Saccharomyces cerevisiae S288C: one gene and its partners. Changing the gene in region 3 together with the main gene of any one other region gives a genetic interaction. Each region holds a gene or a part of one and is shown on either strand. Other genes may lie near its edges. The genes, in order: REV1, AAH1, MCM10 and POL31.

What was found.
Region 1: of MCM10 (region 3) and REV1, changing one suppresses a phenotype caused by changing the other (phenotypic suppression), as found in Saccharomyces cerevisiae (one study listed by BioGRID).
Region 2: mutations in MCM10 (region 3) and AAH1 together harm fitness more than expected from each alone (negative genetic interaction), as found in Saccharomyces cerevisiae (2 studies listed by BioGRID).
Region 4: mutations in MCM10 (region 3) and POL31 impair growth when combined (synthetic growth defect), as found in Saccharomyces cerevisiae (one study listed by BioGRID).

What each region holds. Positions count from the first base shown.
Region 1 is NC_001147.6:979,285-985,925, reverse strand, and holds REV1 (deoxycytidyl transferase), read right to left. Parts: upstream 4,099-6,641; coding exon 1,141-4,098; downstream 1-1,140. Other genes in the region: pyruvate kinase PYK2, read left to right, coding at 1-984. UniProt on the Saccharomyces cerevisiae protein: Deoxycytidyl transferase involved in DNA repair. Transfers a dCMP residue from dCTP to the 3'-end of a DNA primer in a template-dependent reaction.
Region 2 is NC_001146.8:356,679-361,829, reverse strand, and holds AAH1 (adenine deaminase), read right to left. Parts: upstream 2,235-5,151; coding exon 1,191-2,234; downstream 1-1,190. Other genes in the region: THO2 (Tho2p), read left to right, coding at 1-906; YNL140C (uncharacterized protein), read left to right, coding at 344-913; ammonium permease MEP2, read right to left, coding at 2,878-4,377; YNL143C (uncharacterized protein), read left to right, coding at 4,644-5,036. UniProt on the Saccharomyces cerevisiae protein: Catalyzes the hydrolytic deamination of adenine to hypoxanthine. Plays an important role in the purine salvage pathway and in nitrogen catabolism.
Region 3 is NC_001141.2:59,333-64,952, forward strand, and holds MCM10 (Mcm10p), read right to left. Parts: upstream 3,397-5,620; coding exon 1,681-3,396; downstream 1-1,680. Other genes in the region: ESL1 (Esl1p), read right to left, coding at 1-1,362; MLP2 (Mlp2p), read right to left, coding at 3,696-5,620. UniProt on the Saccharomyces cerevisiae protein: Required for DNA synthesis. Required for entry into or completion of S phase. Involved in DNA replication and seems to participate in the activation of the pre-replication complex (pre-RC) and in transcription elongation.
Region 4 is NC_001142.9:447,174-452,369, forward strand, and holds POL31 (DNA-directed DNA polymerase delta subunit POL31), read left to right. Parts: upstream 1-2,028; coding exon 2,029-3,492; downstream 3,493-5,196. Other genes in the region: APL1 (Apl1p), read left to right, coding at 1-852; LSO1 (Lso1p), read right to left, coding at 1,304-1,585; SUI2 (translation initiation factor eIF2 subunit alpha), read left to right, coding at 3,847-4,761. UniProt on the Saccharomyces cerevisiae protein: DNA polymerase delta (DNA polymerase III) participates in chromosomal DNA replication.

The DNA of each region.
Region 1 (6,641 bases), on a different chromosome or scaffold from region 3:
GGTGTTAATCTGCCTAATACCGACGTTGATTTGCCCCCCTTGTCCGCCAAAGACATGAAGGACTTGCAATTCGGAGTCCGCAATGGCATTCACATCGTATTTGCCTCTTTCATAAGAACTTCAGAAGATGTGTTGTCTATCAGAAAAGCGTTGGGTTCTGAAGGGCAAGATATCAAGATTATATCCAAGATAGAAAACCAGCAAGGGTTGGATAATTTTGACGAAATCCTGGAAGTCACGGATGGTGTTATGATAGCGAGAGGCGATTTAGGAATTGAAATCCTGGCACCTGAAGTATTAGCCATTCAAAAAAAGCTGATTGCAAAATGTAATTTGGCGGGCAAACCTGTCATTTGCGCGACTCAGATGCTGGATTCAATGACACACAATCCGAGACCGACAAGGGCTGAAGTATCGGATGTGGGTAACGCTGTGTTGGATGGTGCTGATTGTGTTATGCTTTCTGGAGAAACGGCGAAGGGTGATTATCCGGTGAATGCAGTTAATATTATGGCGGCGACCGCTCTGATTGCTGAAAGTACTATCGCTCATTTGGCTCTTTATGACGATCTCAGAGACGCCACTCCCAAACCTACTTCCACTACGGAAACTGTAGCAGCTGCAGCTACCGCAGCAATCTTGGAGCAAGATGGTAAGGCCATCGTTGTATTATCTACTACAGGGAACACGGCAAGGCTACTGTCGAAGTATAGACCAAGCTGCCCTATCATATTAGTAACAAGACACGCAAGAACGGCAAGAATTGCGCATTTGTATAGAGGTGTTTTCCCATTTCTGTATGAACCGAAACGCCTAGACGACTGGGGTGAGGATGTTCATAGGCGCCTAAAGTTTGGTGTTGAAATGGCGAGGTCTTTCGGAATGGTGGACAACGGTGATACTGTTGTTTCCATTCAAGGATTCAAAGGAGGAGTCGGCCATTCCAATACCTTACGCATTTCTACTGTTGGTCAAGAATTCTAGTAAAAATTAAAGTCCTTATTTTTTTTACTTAATTTTATTTAATTGTCCATTGTGTCAGTTATTTTTTTTTTCTTTGGTAATAATCATGCAGATATTACAGGTAATGTTCGCAAACTGCGTGTTTACTGTATGCTGAAATGTTTTTTTTTTTTTAATTCAAACTTCAAAGTCCATGTCAAGTTTACGCACAGTCTGGTAAGTATGTTTATTTCTGTTTAAAAGTGGAATTATATCATTGAGTAAAATTCTTTCCCACGTTTGGAAGCCTGAATGATCCTGATTTAAAAAGGCGCAGAGATTTAATTCCCTTGATATTAGGTTTGATAAATGAAGAACTAAATGGACTCTATTAGAATCGCAAAGTTTAATCAAATATTTCACGAATAATTTAACATCTTTTTCATGCGGCCCTCCATCACCTAAAGTTTCGGCAACCCATTGTTTCACTAATTGACAAATTTTTTTGAACCGTGTCAGATTTTGGAATTTGATCGGCTGGAATATACTATTTTGGCCCATGAAATGATTTTTCTCGTTCTGTAGGCTCTCTTCTCTCCTTTTTATCTTTTCTTGTAGGTTTCCTAACTTTGTCTGTTGGATTTTTTTCTGAATTCTCAAGTCGTGCCTTACTTCTGCTCGAATTTGGGTTGGTAGTTCATTCATAAACTGTTCTTCCATAGTACTGGGCAAATCATTTACTTCTAATCTGGAAATGGCAAATCCTTTTTTTTTAGAGCTCAATGAGTTTGAAGTCAACCCGGATTCTTTTCTCTTATAATTTCTTTTCTCGAACTCGTTGTTAATGTCATTTTTTACATCTTCCGGTAAGGCTTCGAAAGCTCTGTTCGTCACTATTGTTTTAAACGGTAACCTCAGTTTCAGCTGATTGTTATCCGGACCCACATCAACCAATTTGTTGAATTGTAGAGCAAGACCTCTTAATTCCATTGGAGGGCAGCCCAAAGTTCGATACAAACTTTTCATTTCGGTAGCAATAATTCCAAATTCGTTTGTTGGAATACCTAATCTGCTGCTCCGACTGAATGAGTCGCACCTTCCCATCCCCATATATTTTGGGGGTTCAATTGGAGCGTCTTTACATCTTCTCATCAGTTTTAATGTGATTTGTGACGTTGTTTTGTTTATTTCATTCAATTTTTCTAAAAGATACTGACAACCTCTTTCTATGAACAAGTCTACCTGAGTGATATTTTTAAATCTGATTCCCCAATTGATATCAATTGATAATGATTTTCTTTGTAAGACTTCTTTGGGATCGTACAGTATTTTCAAGCTTTCTTCATCATCTTGGCCTTGTAACGCGAGATGAATCTTCATACCTAACTTAGAGCCGACGCTCGCCTTCAAAGCATCTAAAGTATATCTTTTTCTCAAGTCATTTAAAGAATGTGGGCTATCAAACGTTGATTCTAACCTTGACAGAGTAGAATGCCCAACTCCAGGCAGATCATCTAGTTTGAAACTAGACCAGAATTCTTCAGATAGGTTACTCTTAAACGTGATATTGTAACCATTTGGTTTCGCCATTTTGAGAGCTAGTCTTGCTAACACAAGAGAATCGGAACATCCAATGCTCACTGTGCAACCATTCGTTCCTTGAAAAATTTCTTGGCGTATTTCTTCGCACAGTCTTGCATTTAAGGTATTAGTGTTATGAATATTATCAGGGATTATCCTCACACAAACAGCTTCATCAATAGATATAGGTAAAATCAAATTGAATATGTTCAATCTTTTGAGAGTACTGTAAAAGGCTTCCGATTTTAATTGAAATTGCTCAAAGGTATATGGTAATGATATTAGTTTGATCCCATTTGGCAACATCTTTTCAGCTTGAGACACCCACATTCCATTTTTAATCCCATATGACCTTGCTACATAATTGCAACTAGCTATATCGGAGTTTTTAGTACCATGGCATACCACTATAGGATCCCGTTTAAAATCACATGCTGAGAAACTAGAACTTCTACATAGATACGCAACAGTTGCAAAAAAACAGTCAAAATCGATATGAAAGATAATGTAGGTATCCTTATCCGTAATTTTGGTGTACTTGTGGATGTTTTCATTCAGAAATTTATCTTTCAGATTGGCCTTCCATGCGGAGAGATGATGTAATCTCGAATGAGCAAAATAGGAAGTAAGGAAATCAGGATCATCACAAGCGACTATCCTTTTCGCCTCCAAATTATTGAGATTTACTGGTGACTGCTGTTCTACTGGCAACAATGCCGACCCTACACATTTAGATCCTTTGTGCAGGCTAGTCTCTGAGGGCAATGGAATTGAATTTACGGTTTTACAATTATCTAGTTTTTTTTGCTGTTCATCAAGTTTAGATGTTAACGAGTAATTTTGCCAGGGCAATAATCTTGCTTCTTTGACGCTATCAACTATCCAATCCGGACTGACTACTTTGTAATTTGCAAATTCAATCCTTTTCTTTAATGGTAAATTGGAAGCCACTATGTGAGTAACCGTTTTCTTTGAAGACAAATAGTGTAAAAATTTTCCGCCATGTAAAACTATCATCTCGTGTAATTGCAGTCTTCCAGGTTTGGTGTAGCCATTTATATAGATGACGCAATTTTTGAATATTTTACTGCTTTGACTAGAAATTTGATCTTTATATTGATCTTTTAATATTTGATCTTGCAGGGTTTGTCCGTGCGCCTTCTCGTGGAAATAAGCCTCCCTAGTATACACAGTATTTTTTTTAACATCATCACCATTGCTATCACTTTCCTGGATCTCGATGACGCTACGAGCTATAGGTGAATCTTCGCCACCGCCAAGATCAGCATGTAATTCATCACAGCTAATATTTTTAGTAGTAAATCTTAAAGTACCTGCAGTTGGATTAGAATTATTCTTATTAGTTTGGGAGAGTTGGTTGACATATTCAATTAAGGAATCATCGCTTAACGTAGATAGAAAAGACCTTGCATTCAAGCCGCCGGTCTTTGCTGTTAAATGTGAATCATTGACACTTTGCTGGCTAAGGCAATTGTTTTTATCAGGTGTTTCCCTATTTATAGAGTATTCCAAATCGCTGTCCAATAAATCTACAAGACCACCATGTTCACCCATCGCTGGATATGCCTAGAAATGCAGTATCGATTTATTTTGAGAAAATCTGTCAACTCGTTACTTCTTTGATAGGGAAATCTTTAGTTAAATTTGTTTAAAATTAAGAACCAGGTCTTTAGACTATGCCAAAAGGTATTGGTGCTTAAAGGTTGCCGTAAACTCTAACTCTATATATCTCTAAGCCAATGTTTAAGTTGATGCGATGTGCATGATCACTTCACATTTTTTTCATGATTTTGTTTTCTTCCTTAGCTACTTTTTTCCGTCTTGGTCTGTGTAAAAAAAAAATCGCTTCACTGAAGAAAAATATAAATAAAAAAAGGACATCAGCAAGTTCGTAGTCAATAAATGTGATGAGTAATTTGCGATAATCTACCCCAACTCAAAGCATTCAATTCAAATGAAAGAAGAGTTCGTGAATTTTAATCTGGCTTACAGATTGGATCATAGCTTCTAATATATCTTCCTTTTTATTTTAAAGTGATTAAAATATGTGGATGTCTGCATTAAGGTGAAGGCAGACTATAGTGAAAAATAGTAGCAAAGGCTTCATATAATGAACTACCTAGTTGTATTCAATTGGAATCTGTGAACGCGGCATTAAAAGAATATTTGAGCTTTTTTTGATTGTATTAACCTGAAGCTATCACGGTTTAGACTCATTAAAAGAAAAATATCCGGTTGTATCGGATAACAACACCGCTGTAGTAGCACAGTTTTTTGATCATAGTTTCATTATTTTTTTAAATATGCTTGTATACAGTAATCTAGTTTTGGACGGATTATTCATGTCAGTAAGATTTTACTATCTACTTTAAAATTATCGAAACAGATATCAACTATACATCCACTCATTATTGGCATAGCGAAATAAAATTTATGAATAGGAAGGATATAAAACGAAAATTGAAATCGTTTAGTATTATATGAAACTATTAGTCTTTTCGTTTTCGTCGTCATACTTACATTCTTCTTTTATAAATATTGTTGTGCCTAAGAAACAAAATTAAGTAACTGTCTAAAACGAAGTTGCAAAAAAAGGGGCGAGCTGGGAATTGAACCCAGGGCCTCTCGCATGCTTTGTTCCTCCTGTTTGATCAGGGGGATCGCCCAAAGCGAGAATCATTCCACTAGACCACACGCCCATACAATTTGTGATTTCTCAAAGTTCAAGATGAAGTATTATAATTTTATATTCATTTTCCTCAGTCCCAAAAACGAATGGTTGAAGAGAACTGTTGGAATAAAAATCCACTATCGTCTATCAACTAATAGTTATACTATCAATATATTATCATATACGGTGTTAAGATGATGACACAAGTTATGAGAAGCTGTCATCGAAGTTAGAGGAAGCTGAAGTGCAAGGATTGATAATGTAATAGGATAATGAAACATATAAAACGGAATGAGGAATAATCGTAATATTGGTATATAGAAATATAGATTCCATTATGGGGATTCCTAGACCCTCGAGGAGAACTTCTAGTATATTCTGTATACCTAATATTATAGCCTTTATCAACAATGGAATCCCAACAATTATCTCAACATTCACCCATTTCTCAAGAACATTGTTGAAATGTAGCGCAATAAGTGGTGATTGATACCAACGTTTGCTGCTACGTTAGCAACCTAAACGCTTACACCAAATGTTTAAATTAGTATACTTTTCGAAAATTCGGTGGATATTAGAATAATTTTTAAGATCCTATTGATGATTAAAGCTATAATTGGGTAAAATAAGCATATTCTTGAAGTTCATTACTAAGATATAGAAATCAAGGAAAGGAAACCGATATTTCTACGTAACATTTATTATTTTTCCTTGCATTTTGTGTCGCGTTCTCTTTTATTTCTTTACATTATCAGTCCTTGTATTGCGGCATCCACTAAATCTGATGATTGTTTCTTAATTCCCATGTCATCTTTTTACACAGTATATAATAATATGCTGAATTATACGATATCAAATTTCTTTGGGTGCGATGTAGATGATTCAAATACTCAATAATTATGCATGAAAGAAATCCATTATTCTTGGCAGGAATGCCTCAGGGAATATGGGACCATGACAAGAGGCAACTTAATAGGCATTTACAACCTTTTGATTGAATAATCTAACTATGGGATATAAAGAAGCCTCTAAAAAATTAAATGCCGATAACCTTGATGATTTTCGTATGCTTATTTAATGCGGCTCCCGTCAGCGCCCTGCCGGGTAATATGATTCCCTTTCCAAGTAAGAAGAGCGACAGATAAGCGCGCTTGTATTCATCATACTGCCGCTATGCTGCTTTTCAGTCTGAAAATCGGATGTAATCTGAAAAGCGGATCTGTATTACGATATGATATGGGCAGCCTTTGTGGGTACGATGTCTAGAATTGAAACATTTTTTAATTATATTAATCTTATCGTTTACTTTTTCACATTCTTATCAGTAGGGCGAAACACTAAGAAAAGAGGAACCTCTTTGCGGCTTACGTAAAAAATGCACTAGCCATGTTTGGCACGTTCCCTGCTTGAACTGACATTAGGGGTC
Region 2 (5,151 bases), on a different chromosome or scaffold from region 3:
AAAGTCACCAGGCACGTCGACGATATAAACCATTATTTGGCCACGAACCATTTACAAAAGGCAATTTCCTTAGTAGAGAACGACGATGAAACTCGGAATTTAAGGAAATTATCTAAGCAAAATATGCCAATATTCGACTTTAGAAATTCGACTTTGGAAATATTCGAAAGGTACTTTAGGACACTCATTCAAAATCCTCAAAATCCAGATTTTGCAGAAAAAATTGATTCGCTTAAAAGGTATATTAAAAATATCTCGCGCGAGCCATACCCAGATACGACTAGCTCATATTCTGAAGCTGCTGCTCCTGAATATACCAAAAGATCAAGTAGGTACAGCGGAAATGCTGGAGGCAAAGATGGTTATGGTAGTTCCAACTATAGAGGACCAAGCAATGATCGTTCTGCACCCAAAAATATTAAGCCAATCAGTAGTTATGCACATAAAAGGTCAGAACTACCAACTAGACCTAGTAAAAGTAAAACATATAATGATAGAAGTAGGGCACTTAGACCCACAGGTCCGGACAGGGGCGATGGTTTTGATCAAAGGGATAACCGCTTACGTGAAGAGTATAAGAAAAACAGTTCACAACGTTCACAATTACGGTTTCCTGAAAAGCCATTTCAAGAGGGCAAAGACAGCAGCAAAGCCAACCCTTACCAAGCTTCATCTTACAAGCGCGACTCGCCTTCAGAAAATGAAGAAAAGCCGAATAAAAGATTCAAGAAGGATGAAACAATTAGAAACAAATTTCAAACGCAAGATTATAGAAATACACGAGATAGCGGTGCTGCCCATAGAGCCAATGAAAATCAAAGGTACAACGGAAATAGAAAGAGCAATACTCAGGCGCTTCCGCAAGGTCCCAAGGGTGGGAATTACGTCAGTAGGTACCAGAGGTAATTACTAGTACTTAACATACCCGAGCTGAATTTTAACGTGTACTTTGATAGTTCCCGAATTGTAATCTCGTGAAATACAAAAGGTCCAGCTAATGCTCGTATAATCACTCAAATAAGTTTGTAGAATTCTATTGTATCCTTTCCCACACAAAAGGGGATGTAAAAAGCATCAAAAACATCGAATGAAATTTGTGCATACACATAGTGTTATAAATTTACAAAAAAGCGCTTATGAATCGAAAAAGACTTTCAACAAAAATATTATACAATGTCTTGCAAATGGTACTAATGCGAATATTTAGTGACTACTTCGTCCACTCTACTTAACAAACCGTTCTTTCTTTTATCGTCACACCATGAACCTTTAATGGCGTTCTTAGCGATACGACCCCATGTTTCATGGTCCCAGTGTGGGAAATCTTTCGAAACTTGAGTGTAGACATCTAAGATATAACCACCAAAATAGGCGGGGTCATCAGAATTTAAAGAAAATGGAACATCTCTGTCAAGAAACTTTTGTAGTGGTAACTCTGAAACGGATTGGACTACTTGTAGCTTCACGTTGGAGAGAGGACAAATAGTTAGCATGGTCTGGTCGCGCGACAACCTATCCAATAACTCCTCGTCGTATTGACTGTTGATACCGTGATCGATTCTTGTTACTTGCAACAAGTCTAAAGCATCCGAGACGAATTGAGCGGGGCCTTCTTCACCTGCGTGTGCAGTTAGTTTTAAATCTTTATTCAATGAGGCGGCCTTTCCGTAACATTCAACAAATAAATGTGGGGGAAATGGTTTCTCAGCAGAATCTAATCCTAAGGCAGAGATAGTACCATCTTTAATAAATGGGGTAGCTTCTTCGATAGTTTTCAAACATTCCTCTGGTTCAATGTGTCTTAACAGACACATAATTAGCTTGGATGTAATACCAAATTCAGAGAAGGCTTTGTCACAAGCTCTTTGGAAACCTTTAGTGACTGTTTCTATGGAGATGCCCCTAGATGTATGTGACTGAGGGTCGTAAAACACTTCAGCATGGACCAAGCCTTGTTTGTGAACTTTTTTAAAATAGGCCCACGCCAAATCAAAGAAATCTTGTTCACTAATCAAGACATTAGTACCAATATAATAGTAATCTAAGAAATCCTGCAGATCACGAAACTTCTTATACTTTTCGTTTAATTCCTCGACCGATTTAGGAAAACCTTCAGGTAGAATTATATCGTTTCTTTTAGCTAATGGGAACAATAGGTCAGGTTCTAGAGTACCTTCCAAATGCAAGTGATGCTCACATTTTGGTAACTCCTGTAAAAACTCCACAGAAACCATTATTTTTTTTTTCTTTTCTTTTGTTAGTTCTAATGGTAGTTATTATTTCAAAATAACTATAAATACACAGGCCTGCTTGTCAATTATTCATTTGCAAAAGATGTCGCTTTCATAAGCCTTATATGTTAATTTTTTTCAATCTTCGTTGGCATGCGATGAGGTCAGTTTCCTGCGCCATTTCAGTGCAGTTTCGAGAATTTTAAGATTCAAAAAAAAAAAAAAAAAAAAAAAAAAAAAAAAAAAAAAAAAAGAAAAGAGATGGAAACAGTGAAAGATAAGGCAAAAAGGAAGTATATCAAGGTTTTTACATCAAAATATGTCTTCTATAAGCGATGAAAATTTGCAACCAAAGCAAAATAAACCTTGTGCTCTTTTCCTGTTAACAGCATATATAGGGTATATAGAGGCTTTCTTAAAGAAAATTTCTTGCTATCATGCTCTGGAGATGCTGTATATTATAGTGTGCACAGTTAAAGTCATCGATTATGATAATAACATAAGACAAGAGAAGTAATACTAACGTCTCCCCTCATCATTCGGAGTTATCAAAAAAAGAAAATATATCAAATATTAAAAATAAAATTATTAAATGAAGCGTTACATAAAGATTAAACATAAAATCATAGTCTGCTTGAGTATATCATTATACTATATGGTCAGTGTTCTTAGTAGAAGAAGCGTCGGAAGGCGTAGAATTCTTTTCTGCGTCTGTGTTACCCACAATCTTATCATCAATGTTTTCATGAGGAGGTGGCATTTGTGCCGATGTTTTAGATCTGATTGGTTCTGGGATGTAAGCAGTGGATTCCTCGTATGTAAATTCACCAATTTGAGCAGCGTCGGTACCTAATTCTTCCTCATCAGCACTTAATCTTAGTTTTAAAAATGGAATGGCATTCATAGTTAGAAGCAAGATAGATGTGACAGTAACAGTCCAGGCTAGTGCAGCGCATATACCTGCTAATTGATAACCAACTTGTTTATAGTGATGATTGATCCAGCCACCATCAATTGGACTAATGTAAGAGCCTGCAGTGGCATTTACATAGTCTGCAGCAAAGATACCAGTTAATACAGAACCAATACAACCACCCACACCATGGATAGAGTAACAATCTAGACCATCATCGATGCGCAATAGACTCTTTAAGTCAACAGCAAGGTTACATCCTGCACCAGTAACCACACCAATGACAACGGCTGACCAGATTGGCACGAACCCGGCGGCTGGGGTGATACCCACTAGGCCAGCGATGATACCTGAACACAAACCAACTGTAGTCCACTTTCTTCCGCATCTGAAATAATCGATAACCATCCATGTCAAGCCACCGCAAGCAGCAGCTAAGTTTGTGGACATAATAGAGTACCATGCTCGTATAGTTGCATTACCTGCAGAGCCTCCGTTAAAGAACATCCAACCAAACCATAAGAACACTGTGCCTAAAACCACCGAGGTGACGGAATGTGGTTTGTACTTGGGCATCCCTTTACGTGTAACAGGGTCATTACGCTTACCCAGTATCAAAGCGTAAACTAGACCACCATGTCCAGATGTTAAATGGACACATAAACCACCTGCATAGTCCAAGCTACCCAATTTGACCAACCAACCCTCGGCATTCCAGACCCAGCATGCAATAGGACAATAAACAATAGTCATCCATAAAAACAAGAACACCATCATAGGAAACAACCTTGCCCTCTCGCAGGCACCACCTAGCATTAGGGCACCGGTGACTGCGGCAAACATACCTTGGTAAACGGCAAACAGTATATCGGGAAGAGAACTGACACTAGATGGGGCTCCTAAAACGTTACGAAACCCAAAGAATTCCAAGGTACCAATAAAACCGTTACCTCTAGTGTTGTGTGAGAAAGCTAATGAGTATCCCCAGAAAAACCATTGGAAAATACACACGGCGGAAGCCATCATCGAGGCCCAAAGCAAGGATAAAGCATGCTTTTTCCTGGATAAACCAGAATATAATAAACCGATACCTGGGACCATAATCCACACACCTGCTGAAGCCACACCGATCCATCCCATGTTGGCCAAGTCAAATTGTGTATTCAAATCTGTTGTCAACGAGTTACCACCCGTTCCTTCGCCTGTAGGCGTACCTGTAAAATTGTAAGACATTGTTGATATTGTATTGTAATATATTAAGTATGATATATTACAAAACTAAACTTCTTTCAAAGCTCTGTGCAGACTTATTATTTAAGAAGGATATTTAATTTGAAAGGACGTGAAAGCACGAATGATTACTACCCACTGATGTTTGGTTAGCACATGTGTAACTACTGCTTATATATGGTGCAGAAAAGTGGCTCGGAATGAACACCTCTTGTACTGAATACTTCATTGATAAGGCACAGGGTCTTCACGCCGCTTAGTATTCGTCGATGCGTGAGCAATTGAAGCTTTTTACGAGGGAAATAGTCGATTTTACATTTCTTATCTTATCTGGCTTTGACTATTACCAGACACTCTTGATAAGCAGTAACAGCAGTAAGAAGAGACCGAAGGATTCTTCTTTGTTATCGGAAAAAAAAAAAAAAAAAAAAAAAAAAAAAAAAGATGTCTTATCTTATCTTTCTTATCTTAAAGACCTACCATTTGTTCCTTTTCTATTTTGGCAGCCCGGGTATTCGCAAAGGGAAAAAAACCCAAGACAGCATTCCTTGTTCATTATGACTATTACAAAGCCAGGAATGATTTCGATGGCCGACATGAATTACGTCGTTTCCAAGAACAGAAGCTTAAACCGTCCTGCTGAGCGGGGCGGTAATCGGTGACCAGGCAGCCTATAAAATGAAGTTGACAACCGAGTAGGCTATCACGTATGCATGGAACGTATATTTTAGCGTGACCAATGCTGAATGATGATAGTCTATAGCTGAAAATATTATC
Region 3 (5,620 bases):
TAAATAATCAATTAATTGAGAATTTCTATGGGCAATTTCATTATTGTTCGCACTACCAGAACTTCTATCTATGAATGCAGATTGATAGATATTTTCAATCAATAACTGTAACGTTTGCTGAGACGGAGTGAAGGGATCCTGACAAAAAACACTTTTTCCCAAGTTTACGAACGCTTCTAAACTGTTCTGTTGAACTGTGGCAATATGATAATATAGTTTTCCGCACCCATATATGTATTTCATTGATTCGGTATACCAATATTCGGCGCTTAGCCTCCAATCTATGAATCCTGATGGGTACAGCGATATTGCCATTCTAGACAAATCACCCAATCTTTGTCTCCACAAAATAGAATATTTCAACGGTATATCCTCAAGCATATTTGAGACAGAGATGAAAGCGTATATAATAAACTGACAACATACCTCTGGGTCCATAAAGTTCGAAAAGTTCTTTAGTACATCCAAGAAGGTTATTATACCATAAACCCACAATCTTTTTTCTATTCTGTAAATATCCAAAATTTCTTGGCCCATAATCAAGTCGTTTATAGGTTGTGTAGTTAATAATGCAGTGATGATGAAATTGATGTAATTTTTGATCAGTTCTGTGTTCAGTCTGTATATTGCCCACAAACTTTTTAGTTCTGTGGTTTGAGAGGTGGTTAAATAAAGGCATCTTTGTTGTAACTCGGTTTCCTGCACCACTATGATTTTATAAATTTCCTGCAGTTTTTTAATAAACGTCTGATTTGGCTGCGCCGAAGGAAGTTGCCTTATCATCGGCGGGGGTGAAGCAGCAACTACAGGAGCTCTTCTAATATCGGATAAAGTTACTTGGCTTTGGGGTTGCGAATTGCTATAAATACCATTTGAAGCGACTAATGGCTCGTCAGCTCTCATTTGTGGATTTGCGTTATCTTCATAAGTGTCTCTAGAAACAACCTTCATATTTCGAGCAAGCATAGTTCTATTCACATAATATGGAGATTTAGGAACATCCATTGTTGGAATAGAACTGGTCTTAACTTGTGGTGTCGATTCCATAACTTTGCGAGAGATGCTCGGTCTTCTAGATGCATCATCAGTTTTGGAGGGTGTGTTTTGTGCAGAGATCTGGCTATTAGTTATTCCATCTATAAATCCTTTCCCTACGGGATCTACAATTCCAGGCACCCTTCTTTTAGCGAACGACGACTCTGGTGTATCATTGTGCGACGAAGAACTATGTCGCTTTTGATGAAGAAATGCGGCGGAGGTCGGGCGCATATCGCTCACAATATGAGTGTGGTTGTTGTTGGATCTAGAATAATCAGTTTCATTACTAGGGTCATCATTCGCCGGCACCATTAGGTCAACCATATTATGCGATATCCGTGGTCTTGTTGTTATGTATTGAACCTAAAAATAACGTTAGATGCTGCCAAAGATCGGCCAAAAACGACTGTAAAGTGAAGTAAAGAGTACAGAATGAAGGATGCGCCCAAGAGGGAGATGTTTTCGGAGCGTTTTGTGTCTCACAAGATGTTCTCTTCTGTTCTTTCTCACTTTAAGGATTGATTCCCTATATTGCAACCAAAATCACTCAATTTTTCATCATAATTTTTCAATCATTACCCGCGCCATTGTCCATCAAAAGTAATACCATTTTGGGGCCCTGAAAAGCACACCAATACTTATTTATATTATCTCAAGATCGCTGGCACTACCGTCAGAAGTTTCTTTAGTTTCCTTGGATCCGAAATGTTTTTGCCAAACTTCTTCGCGATGGCTTCTTTTCTTGAACCATTCGTTCTTTGAAGGTGCGAGAATGACTTTTTCCTTCTTGTAATGCAAGAGATCGTTTATAACAGTTTTTTTTTTACCGAGTAAGTTGTTCTTAGGTTCGCTCCCTGATACAGAAGACTTGAGTACTTGGGAAATTTTTCCATGAGTGGGATCGAATCCTAGGCGTTGGATAAGCCCTGTCTGGAGGGCACTTTCTGTGGTTCGTTTCATTTTCTGTCGCTCTCCGACGCTCTTATCTTCTAATCCGCTGGATTCCCTCCTTCTCATAATTTTGCCTAGTTCGCGGCTCAGTGCTGTCGATTTCTTAGTTTCTATTATTTTCCTTCTTTTATTGTCTAAGTTTGCCAGCATATCTGGATTCTGAAATTTCTCGTCGAAAAATGCTTTGGCAGAATTACTATTCGTAAAATTGTGAGAGCTCTTTTTAAGTCTTTCCTCCTCTTCTGACAGGCGCTTACGAGTACCTTTGATTATATTAAACCCGTTTTCCCCTTTGGCCTTATATAGGCTTGGTTGAGAGTCCACTTTCGTAGGCGCGCCCAAGGCGTACCCACCATTTAATTCAATTCTTTTAGCACTTGTTCCACGAAATTGCACTTCTCTATGGTAATCGCAACACTTATGAAGAGATATGTTAATGGGAGAGCCACATTTTTTGTGAGTCTTTTTATTCACTATGGGACACCAACCTAAATCTCTACTTGAACCTATCTCCAGGATACATTTGAAGTCATGACTAATTCGAAGGTTGAAGGATTTGATAAAATTTCCTCGCCCTGAGGGTCTCCATGGTAGTACTTCTGGGTTTAATATTGCTATCACATCACCCAGGCGAAGATTATAATATCTTTCTACACCCTTTTTCCCGAAGATATAAACATCTAGTGTATGCTGAAAGTCCGTTATGGTGAACATGAAGAATTTGACTGGCTTTTCAGATGATGTAAATTTGATGTCCGATTTGTGGCTAATGAGGCCTACGGTGGCCCAGTTGGCGTATTCAGGCTCTTGAAATTTAGGTGGGCGAATTTTAGCAAAAAGTTTGCCCAACCGAAGGATTTTGATCTCATGCAAAGCCCGTTTTAAGTCATCTTCAGGTATGTACCTCTTTTTAACCCAAAGATTTGAAAAGCTTTCTAATTCGTTTGTGATTATCGGCACATATTTCTTCTCATCGGTACTGAACGTATGTACTCTTGCATTCATCATGCTTTCAAACTTGGCAATTTGTTTATCTTCGTTCTTCTTTGCGTTTTGAAATTTCTCCATAAAGTATGTGGTTGTACTAGCTGGTGGTTTTGGTTGCTGCTGTAATTGAGATAACCTTACTTCATTAATATTCGAACCTTCGAATTTTGTGCCTTGTTGTGTAGCATTATGAGACCCCACTTTCACACGGTTTTTGGTAGGAGATTGAGGTACCTCGATGGCTTCAAAATTAGGATCCTGGGGTTTCTTAAATTCTTGCTTTCTTTTTAATCGTTCCACTAAGGCCTGCCTCTTTCGTTCCATAAATTCAAGTTCTCTCGCGATGGCTTGCTCATCCTCTTCATCAGAAGTAATATTATTGTACGGATCAACCGCTAAAATTTCACGAGGATCATTCATTTCTCCACGAACCAAGTGCTTAATGTGCGTTGAAAATGTGAGGTTGAATTGACAAACTTACGTTCCTTTATCTTCGATGGCCTATAAAGTTGATATTTCTTAGTGGTGTTAGAAAAGGTGGGTTTGCGCATCCAAGAAACCCGCGTGAAAAAAAATGGCAAATAAACCCAAAATTTGTTCATACTTAACTACTAGTACGGATGTGTCATAAATCACTTTATGTCCTCTGTAATGACATTAGTGACATTTAAAATATGTAGATGTTTCATATTTATATAATTACATTGTTTAATATTACATCACTCGTTGGAAGCTTGATCATTTGCTGGACTCTCTTTAACCTTTTTGGTGTCTGGATCAGAAGATGTACCGCTCTCAATTGGCCGTTTAGATGTACTTCCAATTTCTGTTATTTTTGCTCCATCGGTGCTATTGTTAGTTAGATCGGTTACGTTGGAAAAGTTAATCGCCGCTTTGACTGCAACTTCAGGTTGAATATTGAGTGTACGTAGGGGGGCATTCGTATTGATATTAGATTGGGATGCTGTGAATGGGTTCTGAAAACTTTGAAGAGATGATGTATTAGAGGAGAAGAATGGCTTACCAAAACTAAAGGTTGGAATGGCCTTGTTACCAGCAGCGCTACTATCCACGATATTATTTTCTTTATTTGTAACCATTGACTGGCTGTCATTGAAGGAAACGTCATTCTTCACATTCTTCAATTGTTCTTGAGGTTTAAGGTTTTTTTGATTTATAAAGCCAGCGACAGCCGACGGCCTCTCAGAATTCCCCTTCGATGGACTGTTCCATAATTCTTCTTCGGCATCTTCCCCGCTACCTTTGTTATCAAGAAACGTTAAGCTTCCCGCGTTTTCTTTCAATTTCTTTCGAAATTCTTCTTCTAATTCTTCTTTACGCTTACTAATGATCTTTTGTATCCTTTCCTCGCTTGGTAACCTTATTCTTTTCTTTAAATTCTCTTCTGCTTCCTTAATTCTCCTTAACGTTTCATCTTCATATTCCTTTAGCCATTCCTTTTTCAATGTTTCGATATCTTTACTGTATTCTGCTTCTGAGCTTGTACTCTTATTTAAGGTCTCTTGTAATTTTTTTTCAAATTCCTTCGTTCTTTCGTCAATAATTCTGTCCTTTTCTTTCTCCATGTTAACTTTCAATTTCTCAAATGCATCAGATGAGCTATTCGCAGTTTTGAAAATTTGTAACTCCTTTTTGAGTGATTCAATTTCCTCCATTAATGTCCGATAAGTGTCCTTTTCGTGATCTCTCGAGACGTCTTCTGATTGGAGTTCATGTGCTTTGAGCTTCGTATCTAGATCAATAACTTTAGCGTTTTCAAAGTGTAGATCTTGTTCTAATTTGTCTTTAATTGCTTTTAATTCGTTGAGTTCGTTAGTTAAAGCAGCTTGTTGTTTCTTAGATGCGTCCAATTTTTCATGAGCCTGCTTCTTTAGCCTATTGAATTTATTTTCCAAGTCAGCGTTTGCGTTCTCAGCGCTTGAAAGTTTTCCCTTCAAATCACTAATCTCATTAGTTAGCTTTTCAATGTCTTTTTTTTGGGCATCTTTTTGTTGTTGAGATAAGTCCTGGTACCTCTGTTTACATTGCTCCATTTCACTTTCATATACTAAAATTTTGTTAGAATTTATCGAAACTTGTTCTTTTGTTTGTATGAGATCACGCTGTAATCGAGAAATTTCTTCTTGCCTATCATTTAATTGTTTATAAATTTCCCTGTTTTTTTCGGTTACGTTTTTGAGACTCTTTTGTAAGATGGCATTATTCTCTTTTAAAATGTTAACTTGAGTAACTTCTTTCGTGATATCCTTGAATTCGTCAATAATAACTGCAGAGCATTGGTATTCCTTCTCCGATAAAGTCTGGGTTCGTTGCAGGTCATTTATCGTTTTTTCTAAACTATCGTTCTTTTGTTTAACGAATGCCAATTCTCTCTTACAGGTGGTTAACTTCGTCTCTAAAGAATTTCTTTCATGACGTAAGTTTGAAAACAAAGAAACTAGCTTCAAATGATCTTTATCGCCATTATTTGCTGCTGTGTCATCAACCTTTTCAATCAATACCGAATTTTCAACACGCAAGGATTCCGTCTGTTCAATATTAGATATCAATTCTCTTTCATAATCAGCCTTTTCCTCCATCCATTTCCTTTCATGTTTATCGAGTAAATCCTGAGCGCTATACA
Region 4 (5,196 bases), on a different chromosome or scaffold from region 3:
GAGATTATTTCGGTTTTCAGAAATATTTTGAGGAAATATCCCAATAATTTTAAAGCAAACGTAACAGAACTAGTCAAACACACTGAAGTTGTACAGGAACCTGAATCAAAAAACGCTATGATCTGGATAATAACGCAATATTCGGATGTAATTCCAAACTACCTGGAGTTATTTAGAGTTTTTTCCTCAAACATGTTTAGTGAGACGCTAGAAGTGCAATTTTCCATTCTGAACTCAGCAATAAAATTCTTCATCAGAAGTCCTACAAAGGAAACTGAAGAACTTTGTATGGATTTATTAAAAGGATGCATCGATCACGAAAATAATCCTGACTTAAGAGATAAAACACTGATGTATTGGAGATTGCTGTCATTAACGAAAACGTCTCGTATATCAAACGCGATAACTTTTGAATCTTTAAAATCAGTACTGGACGGAGAGTTGCCACTAATAGAAATGAACACGAAATTAGATCCCACCGTTTTGGAGGAATTGGAGCTAAACATTGGTACAATAGTATCGATTTACTTAAAACCTGTTTCTCATATCTTTAGATTGAATAAAACCAAACTGCTACCACAAAGTCCTATTTTGAATCCAAACAAAGACCTCTTGCCAGTTGTAGGTAACTCATTTCCTCCAACTGGAGCTAATAGGGACCGTCAAAATTCAGAAAGCCAGTCCTCGACGAAGTCCAGAAAGACTGCTATGATGGATGATTATGATAAGCCCGCTGAAAAAATTAATCAGTTGAAAGGTAAGCGTAAATCTAGTTCAAACAACCCCTCAAAACTATCACGGAAACCCTCAACTTTATTAAGAAAACTCTCTATGAAACGGCCCTTTTCGTGACTGCAAATGATACTAATTCCTGTATTTAAATATACTCATATTTAACGAACAATTATGATGAATGAAAAAACCTGATATAATAGACTTAACTAAGCGATCATAAAAAAATTCAAAAAGTTATTTTATAAAACAATTCAGATGTTAAACTAAAGAGTTAATGTAATATATATACAATGAACTGCGTCATAAATTCCCATAGTTCAGCTCATGGGACATTATCTACTTATAAAGACGTGGCTTGGCAGCATTTCATATATAAGGCTACTGAATGTAAATTTTTCTTCCATTGTCTTTCCCGTGTCCCGAGAACTCAATTCAAGCACTGTTCTTGGGCGTAATAAACCTTCCGGTACTACTAAAATCAGACAAAGGCAGGAAGCCTCGATTTGACCTTTTAACGGGTAAAGCTCTAAAAGTTGCTCTCTGCTCCATATTCTCGTTTTCCGTCATTTCAGTATCTTTTTCCCCTGCCTCCCTTACCTAAAGCTTCCTCTTCGGCGGCTAGTAATTGGTCTCTTTCCTTTTTGGCTCTTAGCTTCTCTGTCTTTTTTTGTTCCATAATCAGCTTCTTCTGGTTAGGGGTTCTCGCACCTTCTTCCCACCTCTGAGCTTCTTGAGCTTCTAGTTGTTGTTTCTCTAGTTGGTCCTTTTCGTAAGCTTGCCTACGTTTTCTTGCTCTTCCTGCTGCCACTTTTTTGGCAGTTTCTGAGTATCTCTTGCCAGTATTATGCATGTTCGCTTCTTCACTATGTTTGGTGGTTTCTAATGACAACTATGCGGTTAGCAAACTTCCAAAAGGCGGTTAATAATACGACTACACATTATCCTATATATATATATATATGTACGCAAGTGCTTAGATTGGAAAAAAGGGTGCAACATTCTCGATTGTTCTATTTCAGCCTGTTGATATCAATCTGTCGTTCAATGCTTTGTGGGTGTGCTTTACCCACTCTTATACAGTAGTTAAGTGGCAAAAAGGGTGTCAAAGGGAAAGGAAAACCAGAGGAAAAGCAAAATAGCCGCCAATACTAACTCTAGATTTATATCATGTTATACGATTAATCAGACGCGTCTGATTAATTTCAAAAGTTAAAATATAAACTATTTTTGAAATCCCATTGCAATAAGCGAACTATAGCTGAATCTTTCCTGCAAAAATGGAAGTGAAGGGCAATGGACGCATTGTTAACAAAGTTCAACGAGGATAGAAGTCTCCAAGATGAAAACTTGTCCCAACCACGAACGAGAGTAAGAATTGTTGACGACAATCTTTACAACAAATCGAATCCATTCCAACTATGCTATAAAAAACGTGACTACGGTTCTCAGTACTACCACATTTATCAATACCGTCTAAAGACTTTCAGAGAACGCGTCTTAAAAGAATGTGACAAGAGATGGGATGCGGGCTTTACCTTGAATGGCCAATTAGTTCTAAAAAAGGACAAAGTGTTAGATATTCAGGGAAACCAACCATGTTGGTGCGTAGGATCCATATATTGCGAGATGAAATATAAACCAAACGTACTGGACGAAGTGATCAATGATACATATGGTGCACCAGATTTAACTAAAAGTTATACTGATAAAGAGGGTGGTTCTGATGAAATTATGCTCGAAGATGAAAGTGGGAGAGTGCTTCTAGTGGGAGATTTTATTCGGTCTACACCCTTCATCACGGGTGTTGTTGTAGGTATACTGGGTATGGAAGCTGAAGCCGGGACATTTCAAGTTTTAGACATATGCTACCCCACTCCTTTACCACAAAATCCTTTCCCTGCACCAATTGCTACCTGCCCCACCAGGGGAAAAATTGCTCTTGTTTCTGGGTTAAACCTCAATAATACATCACCTGATAGGCTATTGAGATTGGAGATTTTGAGAGAATTTTTGATGGGGAGAATCAATAACAAAATTGACGACATTTCTCTAATTGGTAGATTACTGATATGCGGCAACTCTGTTGACTTCGACATTAAAAGCGTGAACAAAGACGAATTGATGATTTCTCTAACTGAGTTCAGTAAATTTCTACACAACATTTTGCCATCTATATCTGTTGATATTATGCCCGGAACCAATGATCCAAGTGACAAATCTCTACCGCAACAGCCTTTCCACAAATCATTGTTTGATAAGTCCCTAGAATCATACTTCAACGGTTCTAACAAAGAAATTTTGAATTTAGTGACCAACCCATATGAGTTTAGCTATAATGGCGTAGACGTTCTAGCCGTTTCAGGCAAAAATATCAATGATATTTGTAAATACGTAATACCATCAAATGATAACGGAGAAAGTGAAAACAAGGTCGAGGAGGGCGAGAGTAATGATTTCAAAGACGATATAGAGCATCGCCTGGACCTTATGGAATGTACAATGAAATGGCAAAACATCGCGCCCACCGCACCTGATACCTTATGGTGTTATCCGTACACTGATAAGGATCCATTTGTATTGGATAAGTGGCCCCACGTTTACATTGTGGCAAACCAGCCATATTTTGGAACAAGAGTAGTGGAAATAGGTGGTAAGAACATAAAGATAATATCTGTCCCTGAATTCAGTTCTACTGGGATGATAATATTACTGGATTTGGAAACGTTAGAAGCAGAGACGGTCAAGATTGACATTTAAATAAAACAAGGAATAATTTCCACATAGATATGCAATTAAGTTTTATATGTAAAAGTGAGCATTCATCGTTCAGCTCAAAATACGTTTCTTGTCACAGCTGGTAGAAAAACTATGAGCGTTTTTTCTTACCCGCAGTCGGAGAAAAATTTTTTCTTCGAAGAGGCGAAAAAGAGAAGAAGAGAAAGCACAAATCTGATGAAATAGTAGTATAAAATCGCATTTACAAATTTTCAACCATTGTTTATTTCCTAGGTCATTAAAGAGTAAAGTGCAATCTGTTTACTAATCAGTTTTTGTCTTCATATTTTTGTGTCTTTTCTGCTGCCTCACGCACCTTCTATAATACACCAAATAATGTCCACTTCTCATTGCAGATTTTATGAAAACAAATACCCAGAAATTGACGATATCGTCATGGTTAACGTCCAGCAGATTGCTGAAATGGGTGCTTATGTTAAATTGTTAGAATATGACAACATTGAAGGTATGATTCTACTAAGTGAATTGTCCCGTAGACGTATTAGGTCAATCCAAAAATTAATTCGTGTTGGTAAAAATGATGTCGCCGTTGTTCTTCGTGTCGACAAAGAAAAAGGTTATATTGATTTGTCCAAACGTCGTGTTTCTTCTGAAGATATCATTAAATGTGAAGAAAAATACCAAAAATCTAAGACTGTTCATTCCATTTTAAGATACTGTGCCGAAAAATTCCAAATCCCTTTGGAAGAACTATATAAGACCATTGCTTGGCCATTAAGTCGAAAATTTGGTCACGCTTACGAAGCTTTCAAACTATCCATCATTGACGAAACTGTTTGGGAAGGTATTGAACCGCCATCAAAAGATGTTTTAGATGAATTAAAGAACTATATCTCCAAGAGATTAACACCACAAGCTGTAAAGATTAGAGCCGATGTTGAAGTGTCTTGTTTTAGTTACGAAGGTATCGATGCCATTAAAGACGCATTAAAATCAGCTGAAGACATGTCCACAGAACAAATGCAAGTTAAAGTTAAATTAGTCGCCGCCCCATTATATGTTTTGACCACCCAAGCCTTGGATAAGCAAAAAGGTATTGAACAACTGGAAAGCGCTATTGAAAAAATTACAGAGGTTATTACAAAATACGGCGGTGTTTGCAACATTACCATGCCACCAAAGGCTGTCACTGCTACTGAAGACGCTGAGTTACAAGCTCTATTAGAAAGCAAAGAATTAGATAATAGATCTGACTCTGAAGACGATGAGGATGAGTCAGACGACGAGTAATCATTGCCGCGCCTAATTTTTCTAGGTGTTTTCAAGTGTCATACTGTTTTAGAAAATTTTGTATAGAACAAATACGTATATCCTGCCATATCATATTCTTTGCAATATACACCTTGTACATTTGGCTATTATAAATATTACAATCCATTTAATCATAATCAAAATTTAATTTCTGTTACCACGGGGTTGTCAGTGGAGCATGCCCTGCCGGTTCTCTATAATTTATCTTTTTCACATGAGATATTTTTACCTCAAAAGGTAGTGATGCTGTAATAATATGAGGCTCCCCCCTTTCCTTCGGAATTGCATTTAAATCATTGGGGAACACTAAGACAAGACAAAGGGGCCGTCCACTCATGTGATTTTCAACAAAACAGATAACATGCGGATACACACTGATATATTTTCAAAGGAAAGTCTGACTGATACTTAAGT